Drosophila melanogaster: one gene and its partner. Changing the gene in region 1 together with any one later gene gives a genetic interaction. Each region holds a gene or a part of one and is shown on either strand. Other genes may lie near its edges.

What was found.
Region 2: of in (region 1) and Rab23, changing one enhances a phenotype caused by changing the other (phenotypic enhancement), as found in Drosophila melanogaster (one study listed by BioGRID).

Annotation. Positions count from the first base shown.
Region 1 is NT_037436.4:20,365,461-20,370,795, reverse strand, and holds in (inturned), read right to left. Parts: upstream 3,599-5,335; 5' UTR 3,481-3,598; coding exon 871-3,480; 3' UTR 537-870; downstream 1-536. Other genes in the region: CG13247 (uncharacterized protein), read right to left, coding at 47-284; Toll-9, read left to right, coding at 4,878-5,172. UniProt on the Drosophila melanogaster protein: Plays a role in the definition of cell polarity via the planar cell polarity (PCP) cascade. Acts downstream of fuz and accumulates asymmetrically in wing cells to regulate planar polarity in the wing. Probably acts by regulating ciliogenesis.
Region 2 is NT_033777.3:5,679,521-5,687,069, forward strand, and holds Rab23 (Rab23), read right to left. Parts: upstream 5,915-7,549; 5' UTR 5,878-5,914; intron 3,468-5,877; 5' UTR 3,222-3,467; coding exon 3,102-3,221; intron 2,398-3,101; coding exon 1,711-2,397; 3' UTR 534-1,710; downstream 1-533.

The sequences.
Region 1 (5,335 bases):
TAAATAGTTTCAAGATCAAACGGGCAAGAGACCACTGACCACCCACCTGATCCACACACTCCCTTAAGGGTTTTTGTGGTGACAGCCTCGGCAGATGCCTTCACCTCCCCCGCAGTCACAGTGCAAACAGCTTTCTGCACTTCGCTGGGCAGTTTTGGAGCAGCTTCTGTATCCAAGGGATTCCCGGTGACGTTGAACAGTCCACTGCCCGATTCCTCCTCCGTCGCCATCGCCGTGGAGCAGAGAACAAGACACAGCATCCACGTAGCTGTCATCATATCCATCCACCAAGAATCCTCTTCTGTTGAAACACCCAAACACAACTGTCGACGAATCTTGGGAAATTGGCAATTTGGGGAGCACCACCTTGAGCCACTCGTTCACGTGGATTTATTGGTCGGCGTGTCTTTTGACTTCTGGTGCGTGGAACTACTTTTAGAATGGGACCCTCCCACCAAACTCTAAAAATAGTGTACACTTTTGATGGCTTCTCTAGTACGAACTATGAATGAATGAAACACATTCGCACGATGTTTGTGTTCCTCTTGAAATACCTTCATACATACATATTTATTCGCTGCGTTTCAGAGGAAATGTACATATTTTTCAATTTCTTAGAGTTTTGGCAAGCTTGCGCTTTTCGAATTTTGAAAATACAAAATTGCACTTCCCCTAAATCAAATGCTTTCGTAATAGAATTGCTGAAAATGATTAATTATGCATTCTTAAATATAATTTTAAAAAATTGTTTGAATGCCTATATAAAAGTAATTTGTTTAGTTAAAACCACATTTTAAATATTTGTGTTTATATTATAGCAAGAATTCTACGCATAGCCAGTATCTAAGTTGGTAGTATCCTTCCAAGATGTCATCCCATTGAGAAGAAGGACAACCGGAAGGCCATTTCGACTATGTTCTGGGGAACATCGGACCGGTGACACACGTACACTTCCTTGGCTGGCGACTGAAAGAGACGACCAACCACCACGAAGCGACTGCTCGTCGAGGATTGGGATTGCCCGTCCGACTTGGGTTGCGTGCTGACCTCCAGGATCATGCCGTGCTCCTTGACCAGCGACACTGTGTGGCTACTGTGCCCGTTCGAGTTCGTCTGTGCTCTCGAGGATTCCGATAGATGCCTGCGATAGTGCTTGGATTTCTGCAGCACGGCGTGGATTATGTGACACGCCTGACGAATCTCGGAGAGGTAGTTGGAGTTCTCGGAGCTGTCGGTAAATGGCGCAAACAAGGACCCATTGGCTATGTCAATGTAGACGTAGTGCAGAACGGAATTCTTCCAGCCAGCGGATATCTTGACCGGCACCACGTTGTTGATCTCCTTCCACATGGACTCTGTCATTTGGCTCTGACTGTGGCTCTCGGCCCCGAGATTCAGTCCATAGTGAAGTGGATGCTGTACGGCGAAGTTCTCCCAGTCGGAACCGCTGTCTGAGTCCTCGGCAGTACCATGGATGGGGGTCAATCGCCTGCGACAGGACTCGTCCTCACTGGGAGTCAGACTATGTATGGAAGACCCACCCAGGGACGAGCACAGTTGGGCTTCCTCCTCCACCGAAGGACTCAGCACGGTTAGCTTCTGCTTGAGGAAGGACTCCAGTCGGTTGTTCGGCTCCTTCTCCTGATCTCTACTCTCGCTGGCAGTGGCGTCCAGCACCTCGGGTCTCTTATTGGAAACGGACCAGAACATGGCCAGGGATTCAATGCCGCACTGTACTAGGTGGTCCAGCGTCTCTTGAATCTCCTCGATGTAAAAGAGCGATGGACCCACCACCGCATCCGGCGCCATGTCTGGAGCATCGAAGATCTTCAAGATCACGGCCAGACTCAAGTGGTTCTTGGTGCAGATGGTAAGGAAATATCGCCCTGTGGCACTGGGCAACACTATCTCCTCCCACACGTACATCTCGCGAACTTTGATTCCCGGAGCAGCTCCGAGCAACTCGAAGATTCCGCGGCAGCGCAGGAATCCTTCTACACTCACCCTCACTTCCGGTGGCAGCAGGCTGGCCACCAGGAAGCCATCGTAGTACAGCGCACTGCCGTAGATGAAGAACTCGCGATGGGTGGTGAGTGGCTCGTCGTTCCAGTTGCGATAGTCCATGGCCTCCATTTCACTCAGAGCATCAAAGATGCGCAGCTGCGCTTCCTTTGGCAGTGGCAGGCTGCGGGATTGGCCCAGGAGCTCCTCGAAACGAATATGACCATGGCATCTGGCTACGAGCCGGGTTCTCTGGATTTCGCAAAAGTGTCGAAGGAACAGCTTCAGTCTCGAACTATTCCCCGGCTCTCTCTCCTGATTAAAGCTCTCCAGGACCAAGCCCGGCAGAGAGAAGCGTATGTATCCGATTAGCTCATCCGATCGCAGGCTGCACTCCGCCGCACAGCAGAGTCCTCCGGCGTAGGCGAAGAGGACTAGGAACCCATTCAGTTGGCGGTAGTTGACGTGGTATTGCACCTGATCCACCAGCAGCCTTGAACTCAGCGGCTGGGTGTGCAGTTCACTGAGTACGGCGTGCAGGGTGAGGAAACTCCCACGGGCCTTGAATAGGAAGTTGTCGGGGATTTCCGGAAAGTAGTAGAGGGAATCCTGTTGCTGTTCATGCTGATAGCACTCCGGTGGGAGTAGCAGCATAGCAAAGGGCATTCTTATGTCCACGGAACTACCGGGAATACCGAAGTTCCCCTCCGTTATCAACATCTGCTCAAACTTCTCCGTGAACATGGGAAAGTTCTCCACCTTGCACACCTGCTCCTCGCGGACATTTCGATTATACCCCGGATCGGTGGGCGAAACTGCACTGGCCGCACCGCACGACTGGAAGCCTAGGCACACCTGAGTGGGCTCCACGAACTGCTTGAGCAACTCATCCACATTGCTGGCGTACACCTCTATGCCATTCAGGGATCTAAACCAATCTCCCCGCTTGATGCCGTGCTGCAGCGCACTCACATCGTGAACGAACCCATCGACCATCAGGCATTCTGGTTGGTCCGGAAAGGGCAGGACCCGGAAGCCCAGTATGGACTCCACCGCCGTGGATCGTCGTCCGAAACGGAAGCGATCAGCGGCTGTGATCACCAGATCCAGTTTCTTGGGATCGGGGGCAGCCGTCTTGAACTGTGAGAAGCGGAACTCTTGCGGCTCCGTCTGGCTATCCAACCTGCTCGGGCCGTGGGACTGGTTTTGGTTCTGACTCTGATTCTGATTATTGCTGTGCGGCTGGCGACGCGACGACTTCTTTCCCAGGCGCAGCGATCGACGCATGAACTCCACCCGCCGCTCTGCCGAGACGCCAGTCTTCTCACATCGCACATACTCCATGTAGAAGAGACTGCCGTCTGTGGACACGTACTCCTCCCAGTTGGCCAGGTCGCTGCCATCGCTGTACGAGTTGCTCAGCGAGGAGTTCGAACTGGAGAAGGCCTCCGACGGCAGGCTGGCCGGCGATTTGCGCATAGTTTACCGGGGATAGTTAACTGGGCGGATAGTTATTAGTGGCCTACTATTCCAGGTACACACTCAACTATCTGCCGCCGGTTGATACCGCCTCAGCTCAGCTCTGAATGTCGACTGAAAGCCGAGATCCGATCTCAGCACTCAAAACCAGTTTCTAATTGAGCTCTGGCTCCGACCAGCTCAATACCACTCCACTCAAATTCCAGCGGGAAACGATCCACTCCCTTTGTGATCTGGTTCTCTTTCAAGCTGGGGAAACTCAAAACCCACCGTGGGTTAAGACAAGTATAGTTACCATAATACAATAACCAATTTCTTTTCTTTTTATAAGTGTTCGCATTTAACGATTGGACTGCTAACCAGTTGATTTCAGCGTGATATTAAGTTATAAATAATAATCATGGAAAATCCTTATAAAAATAGAGCTCCGTCTGCGATATGCTGACTCTGCACAAAGTCGCATTGAAGATTTGGTGGAACTTAAAGCAAAATTGGTGTGCTATCATAAGGATTGTGTTAATCAGCGGAAGATTAGTAAAATGTTGCTTCCTCAATGGGTATCCGATGATCATTTGTCATAGGAGACTACCGCTGAAGTCCTATCTCCCAATAAATTATTTTACGGCCAATAAACTGTGTATGCATGATATGAAGGGAATTGATATAATTAATTGGGCATTTGTGGACCCGGGTGTTTTAGTGGCCACCTTTTCGTATCGCCGATGGTCTGATAATCTAAGATTTTCCAAGTGATTTTTTTCATATCGGTCTCCGGACTGGACGCCGTAAATCAAAACTTTTCTATCTGCAAACAATCGAGTAGTATAGAAAATTGTGTCTCACTGAACTCACTATGTGCTGGCCAAAAGCGAGCCGTGGCTATATCGGTTGATCCGGAGCACCGATCCCATTGAAGTACGGGCCTAATAGCCGTACTCCGACGTCCAGATAATTATCCGATAAGGAACATGGCGTGGGCGTGAAGCGGGACGCCCAGTGCCACCGAAAAAGCGATACGCTGATAGTCCCGGGCCATTCAAGGGAAGATATTGCCAAAATTGATAAGCCGTATCATGGCAGAATTAGCCGCACATGTGTACCGCAGCTACCTATTATTTCTGCTGACCATCGGAGCAAGCTGAGTCCTCCAGCCAGTCCATTGCGCGAATCCAAGGCGTGTGCTTCGCCCAGCCGCAAATAAAGTGATTTGCGGGAAATGTCGGCCGCGGTTAACTATCACAAAATGTGGCTTAGATTTCGGAATACCCAGTGAAACTGAATGAGTGGCTAAAAATTGTATAGAACGCGATTATCTGTGTGATTGTGAAATCAAACAGCTGTCAAATCTTATTTATAATCCCCCATTACAAGCACTATAGGTGCGCAATTCAGTGAATATGTGTCCAAAATATATATGGGATGTGATCGTATTAGTATGCCTGTTCCTTGGAAACGTAAGGGAAGCATACACCGAGTTTTCGATCCAGGATGGCTTGATAATAGAACCAGATTCAGCCACAACATCCAGCGAAGAGGCCGAAGAGGTCAGCAAGGAGAGAACGGACCTCAAATCCCTCATGTTGAAGTACGAATCGGATGATGGGAACAGTTGTCTGCTGGATCTGATCAAGGACGAGGTGATATGGTGGCAGTTTCCCAACGGAACCCTCAGGGACAGCACAAAGAAATACGGTAAACCTATCCAATAAAGTCCAATAAAAATCCCTGCCCAAGTCTCAGTTTGATTGGGCATTGTTAACAGCTCTCGAAACTATATACATATACTTTCACGCTTCCGGCAACGCGGATCGACTGCTTATAGAAGGTCTTTGATGTTAGCCTAATCCCACCAGAA
Region 2 (7,549 bases), on another chromosome or scaffold:
TTATGCTCAGCTTTTACCACTCTCTTCCCCTGACCCTCCAGAAATCGAACTTTCTACTCTCTCTCCTTGCCTATATCTAAGATATTTTGATTTTTCGACTTTGTGTAAATAAATAAGAATGGAAATTGACGAATAGTTATTTATGCCTTTATTAATACAAGGAAACACTTGAAAATTACAACAAAATAGATATATACACATTTAATGATTTATGCGTTGCGAAGCGATAGTTTTTCAACGCGCATTGTAAATATAAAGAAAGAAATATTATATATTTAAAATAGTTTAAACGATTTAAATGTGGAAACGTTTAAACGATGGTGTAACAGAAGCGGATCGCAAAATTGTCAAGCTTACAAAAAAAGTGTAAAATCAAAAATCAAATAAAAAATGGTAAACATTTCAAAACTACGACTGCTGTTTTAACCCATGACATCTTAACCCATTATGCTACTTTAATTTCGAACCCACTTCATCAAATTCCTGCCCGCTGACTTTCCAAAAGTGAATCCCAATTGCACAACAATCGACTTAATTTACATAAAATAATTTATTAAGTAAACATATTAATGGATCATTACATGCATAAATAGAATATTAATGGGCTTAGGGTTATTTATTATTTATTAGTTATTTCTAAACTCCTATTCGGCTTACATGTTACATGCTTCACGAGTTTCACTGTGCTCTATCTGCAGTTTTTTGCATAGAATGCGAGCAGCACTGGTCTACATGAATCGCGTCAAATTGCGCTCTGGCATGACTTGCAATTAGTTAATAATTATAAAAGCTGAATGTTTAATTGCACATTTGGCCAACGCGAATTGGCAAAGGGATTTCACATGGACCTGTGATCTGGGCTTGGTAGCGTGATAAATAGCCTTTTAATTCTGCTTGGTTAGGGAGCTAACCCCTATATACAAACATATTCGATATGAAAGCAAAGTTGCTTCAGTCTCCGTTATAGAAAAGCGGGCATAATACATACATACAAATTTGATTTCGTATCTATAACTAATTGTGGAAATTTTTGAGAAACTGCCAGTGCTCGTGCATATTGTCTATGGTTTCGAGAACTCATCATCTACCCGTGCAGATCGGGTGCTATGGTTTTGGTCTAATGGCTCGTGTGGCCAAGTGAGTATTGGGTCTGTATATACGTTCTATATATGGTAAATATAAACAGGAGTATTAAATAGTTGCAGTTAAAATAATACACCGAAAAGTTAGCTTATTCTATGGTGTCTTAAATGATTTGGGTGTTTCTTATAATTTTCGTGTTCAAGAACAATATCCGGCATAGAATTTAAATCTGTATATTAAAAATCGTAGTTTTAAAAACCAAAGATGAATACATTTTTGTGAGATATCGGAACCGGCCCGAAAGATGGTGAAAACTTTCCGTTGTGCAGTGTAAATCAAATATTTAGTTCCTCAGTTCGACCGCAAGGGTATCTCATCTTCGTGGGGATCCAGAAGATCCAATTTGCTGCCTCCGATTATTTTTTCTGTTCCGTAAGCATGTCTGAACCACATCACGCGGAGTCTGTGCACGACTAGTGAATGGCTGTGGTTGCATCCAACGGTTGGCTGGCCACCCGGCCACAACATCATTAGGCTCCAAAATAATTAGGCGTTAAATATGCTCCAGATATTAATTGCCAGCCGAGTCGCCCCTGCCGCCATCTAACCAGCTAATCCGACAACTCCTCACAATATTCCGCATTTCTTGAGCACTATCTTTCGCTTTCGGGCCACGCTGGAGCCATGGCCCTTCTTCGCCGGACGGAGGACGATGGTGCCGCTGCTGGACTTTGTGAAGGTCGGGCTGAAGGCGCTGATCGTGGGCGTGCTGCTGTAAGGCGGATGGCTGGAGTTTTGCTGGTTTCCGGCCACCTGGTCGTAGCTCTGGGTCATTAGCTGATGGCACTTGGTGGCCAGGTAGCGAAACACGGACGCCACGTTAATGTCCTCCTTGACGGAGGTGCGGATGAGCCGGCAGTTGAGGAGCTTGGCCAGCGTCTCCACCTCGTCGGCCGTAACCACCGCCTGTTCGATAAGATCGATCTTGTTCTGCACAATCACTGTGGGTATCTCGTTGCACTCGTTCTCCACCTTGCGCTTCCAATCCTTGATCGCGTCGAAGGATGCTCGATCCGTCGTCGAAAAGACCAGGACGGAAGCCTGGGCGCCGCGGTAGTACGCCTTTGTGATGCAGTCGAACTCCTCCTGGCCGGCGGTGTCCCACAGCATGATGCGCACATCCTCGCCGTCGATCTCGATCTGTCGCTCTAGGAAGTCCACTCCAATCGTTTTCTTGTAGTCCTTCGTGAAAATGCCTTTGCAATAGCGCTGGATCATTGATGACTTGCCAACGCCGCCATTTCCAACAATGACCTATGGAAAATACCAGAGTTGTTATTAGTTCATATTTCAAAACAAAAGTCTTACGTTATGTTTTGCTATTTCAATCATAAGCAAAAAAGCGTTTTGTTATTCACCAGAAGGAGAGAAAATTAACTGTTCACAATATTTATGTGCTTTCTACTGGACATTTAAAACGGTTAGCCATTTAAGTTAATTAAGCGCGTAAATGTCAATCAAATTTGGCTTGTCTGCAGAAAGACACATTCGGAAATAATCATATAAATCAATTTGAAACAATTCCAGAAAAACCATTAGAAACAACTTTATTTAGGGAGAGGAGAACCCTAATTGAACTAGAATCTTAATTCGTGCAGTTTCGCCATTAGCAACAGACATTTCCATCGGATTTTATCTTACAGGTGCCATTCACAACACTTGGCGAGGGAAAATTACACAGAAAGTTATTATTTAGAACTAGTTAGAAGTTTATAAAAATATATAGAAAAACTATTAGATGATCTGATGCTTTAACATATGGAAGTTGATTAATATACTAATATTGGAAAGAAGTCATTCCATTTTGGGATATGCAGAACTCTTCTTGATACGATATATAATCAATTGTATATGTGGGTTTGGTTTAATAGTAGCCATCTTTTTTTCTTGCAGTGCACTCATTTCAACCATTCATCATCCGAATGACAGAGATTCACGCAGCCGGCTGGGCAACTTACCACTTTAATGGCCAGCTCGATATCATCTTCACGCATGCTGGTGTAGTTGTACTGCGCCTGGGAGTGGGTCTGCAGAACGGACGCAGCAGCACCGCCGGTTGCCGTTTGGATTAGACGCATCTAAGCCGGCAGGTGGGCCGCCGCTCGCCCAGGTGTTTGATTGTGGCTCTGGCTCCAGCTCCAGCTCCAACTGCAGCTCCTGGCCAGGCAAATCGGTTGGAGGAGCACGAAATCTCAATCCGCCCAACGCAAGTGTGTTCAAATGTGTTTGTTTGGTTAGCCAAGTTTTCCGCAGCTTTTCACTTTTCCCCCAACTTTGTCTGAATCTCGTTTCACTTTCTACGCATTGATTTCACCAAATTCGATCTGTGGAAAAAGAGAAAAATCCAACTATTCAGCGACATCAGTTTTAACATACGGCAAGTGCTACAGTCAAACTTCGTTAGCTTGAACTAAAGAAATATGAAGTGAAAAAGCAAATTTGGGGGTTTTATTATTTGATTATATATTGGAACAACTATCCATCTATTTTTATAAACCTTTGTTTTCTGGAGATATCTTTGCTTTAAATTGAAAAGGCGCGAGAAGTTGTACCAATATTTCGACTCAAATTAATTTCCCTTCCCGAAGCTTGACTGTAAATGCAAAAGGTTTTCTTTCATTTCCACGTCAACCGGTTTTCAGCGCTGTGTTTCTCGCTTCTTTTGGCCAAGTCTGTTTTTCGTTTCCCCTGTTTTTCTTTCTTGTTTTTCTCTGTTTCTACCGACTGGCCCAGGGGCCACCGAATGCGGCTTCTAATAAGACGCAACACGAACGGCCGGGCACGCACGGTTATGTTGTTCAACAACAGGTGCTTCCACACACCTTACGCACAGGTAACAGGCGGTGGTCGGGCGGGGGGGGGGTGGGATTTTGGAGTTGGGCGGTGGTCTGGTGGTTAGGTGGGACGACAGGGGCCAGTGGATACTGGTCAGCAGAGAGATGGAGATGGAGCCCGCATGACATTAGTATTCGCATTAGCGCGTGCTTATGAATTCTTTGAAAATTGTGCTCTTTCTTCTGGCCTTTCCCCCGTTTACAGTTGCTTACTGCGGCTTCGTGGGCGGACGGCTGTGCGGCTAAGTGGGTTCGGAATATATATGGAGGGTAGATACAATATCTGACCAAACGGATGGGGCCCACTTGGTTACATTGTGTTCTAAAGGAGATATATTCGTTTCGTAAGCAAATTAGCTTGGTTTCAAGGTTCTCAAAATAGATCGGAAGCTTGGTGCTCGAAAAAACAATAACAAACCAATCATCAATTCGGGTTGGATTCATCTAAGCTTCGAAAGAAGCATTAGATATATGTATAGCCTACAGCGTTTCCCAATTTTCTCTCAGTTTTTCAATAATAAACGAACCTTTTTTGTGTAAAATGTGGCTGATATGAATGAATTTGCGTGAAATTCTCAAGATTTTATTGGCCTAAATATAGTGATCTGCCTTCGAAGGTTACAAATACAACAATTAATTAATTCCCAGCAGTCTTTTCTGAGCTCTTTCCACACAGTCGGCATTCCGCACTAGACGGACAGGTAACACAGGATTTGTGTTTTCCATTTTCTCCACCGATTCTTTCTTAACCCAAACCACCACCTTTAACCCACTGTGCAACCTTTCGCTCGTTCTAATTATGCCGCGACTTTTTTCCTACAGCTTCTTCTAAAAGGTTCATGCTATTTTCGTTGACTTTTTTGTAGTTCATTGTCATGATAATTAAGGCCACCGGTTATAGATTTAGTTCAATAGCCATGTGTACACTTAAAGATTTGTTCCACAAAAGAGAGCACCGATCCTCAGATTGTTCTAATCTTGAGCCTGTGAGCAACCATTTGTTTTCTGCACAGGCTGTGGAGTAAATTGCGAATGGAGCGCCGCGCTGCAATTATCTTTGGATTTGCCCAAGGAACTGATAGATCGGCGGCCGTTTTCTTGGCCATTGTTGTGGAATGTGGATTCTAACTTGTCCATTTAGGTTCACAACAGCACCAATACACCTGCACTCGGCCACATGCATGCATGCCGTGCACGGCTGCACACCCCTACACATGTGCACTTGTTGTGCTGCCGCTGCTGCTGCAGAGGAAAAACGGATTTTCCAGGCTTGCAAGTGTGTGTGTTCGTATGGGGAAAATTATGCAAATGCCGAGCGCTACTTAAATCAATTACGAGCGCGAATTCCTCATTATTTAAATCATGATTAAATAGTTACTCGCGCATTAACGGTACTCCGCACAGTGTCGCCCTCTGCTTCTTCTGTTTTTGTCTGTTTTTTTATCTCTTGCCATATTTTTCATGGCTCTTTTACTGCCTCTTCTCACTAAAATCAACTCAAAAGTCTACTGCGATTGTGTTTTCTGGGTGAGAAATAGACGAAAAGAAGTTTCGAGTGCGAAAACGCGAAGCTCGCATTCGAATCGCAGCTTGGGATCGCACAGAAAATCGTAAACACGTTCGCAGCGGAGCCCCTCTTCTACTTGGCCAAAACTACCAAGCAGATAAAACGGCTAAAGCAGCTAAATTGGAGCTAAAACAACGACGACAACGCGTGCGAAGCGCCTTAATTAAAGACGAACGTCGCCTGGGATCCCGATCTCTGAATTGACCCGCAGTGAAAGTCAACTTGCACACACGATATACACCATGGTTTATGGTTTTTGCCCCCGGCCGATTTTTTAGGGCGCCAAGTGGGAGAAATGCGCTGCACTGCGAACCGGAATGCCAAAAATCGCACCTGTTGCTCGTCGCGATCGAAATTTGAATGCCAAGCCTGGCTTGCTGCGAGCAGTGCGACCATGGCGTGCGCAAAGTAGTTTGACCAGCGTGGATGGTCACACCAGGCGAGCTTCGATGTGAACGGGTTTGCTTTTATTTTATCTGCACGTCTCCAATAATAATTTACGAGCGGAGAATGAAACATATATATACATCCTCCCATTTGACTTAAAGATTGGTTACAAAATAAATAAATAAGTAATAATTCATTGTCCAATGTGCATATAATATTTAGTTATTAAAGTAAGTACATACTATTATTGAGTGCTTTGAATAAACATGTACGTGAGAACACTTTGCATTTAAATTTTAAATTTGTAGCGCCTGTTATTTACCTCTACCGTCCCTTTGCAACACTGCTTCCCAGTGGCTGGCACTCGCAGAAGAAGAAGCACCTGGCAATCAGCTGTTCCAAACGACAAGACGCGCATTTGTTTGACTTTCAACGGCGGACTCGAAAAAGCGCAAATTGAAATGTGTTGCCGCAAGATTTGCGCACCAGTCTTGTAAGGGCCAATTGCGGCTATAATTTCATCGCCTTTGCTGACAACCCACTTGGCTGGCAGCACGCGCATGCTCGGCAATCGCGATTTATCGGCCGACAGGACGAAGGACGAGACGTAGAGAAATGCTAGGCATCGCGAATTGGAGAAGCGGCAGGAACTCGACTTTCAGTGCTCAGTGCTCAGCGGAATTTGGTGGCATTTCAACGTGTTTTCGGGCGCACCAATCGCCAAAATCAGTATTTATTGTTGCACGCCACCATCCGTGTGTGTGTGTGTGTCGCGTAACGGCGGGTGTGTGAGTGTGTGTGGCGAGGGGCGGCGAAAAGGTATTGGAAACCTTAGAAAGTAGAAAGTTAAAAGTGCCAAGTTAGTGCAAAAGTAAATTCCGACATTGGGGTGACTGCCGTCTCTTTTTTCGCAGTCTGTCTGCTGGTGGTGGCTCGTCCTCTTTCTCCGCCTCCTGCTCCTCCTCCTGCCTCTCAAGCCCATCCTCCGTGCCCCCATCTTCCCATTCTTTCTAAGGCAAAGAAAAATCACAGTGCACGCTCGATAAAGGGAACATGCCAACAGGAAAGTACGTGTTTTGAGAATCCTTACATTGCTGCCTTAATGGTACTGTGAATTTAAAGTTCTTACTAATATTACTACAGTATTGAAACTATCTTTCCTTTGAGAATCTAAATAACTACTTTTGCTTGCCAGTTAACTGTAGCGAGCGCGCACTGTGCATTTTTGTGAATGTGTGAGCCATGAATATGTGAAAAACAAAGACGGCACTGGCTGCGAATAAAAATCAATATTGATAGTAATTTCTCGGATGCTCTCTGCTCCTCCGCTCCTCGAGACCTTCCCACAGGAAGCGCAGTCAGGTGGTCATTGTCCGCTCCAGCGCCCCGGCTGCCCATGCTCCCATTTCCCATCTTTCCCATGTTCCCACTTGCCCATTTTCCGCACTATCCGGCTGCTTTGCCGCCCCCCTTTTTGGGGGTGATTCATTGGGCGCACGAAGTCAGAATTCCATCAGCGACGACTCCCTTCCGCCTGGGAATGTGGAAACGCGGTCGCCATTAAATATTGATTCGATCCTGGACTGCAGCACGCTACGTCAGGAAAACATATACAAAA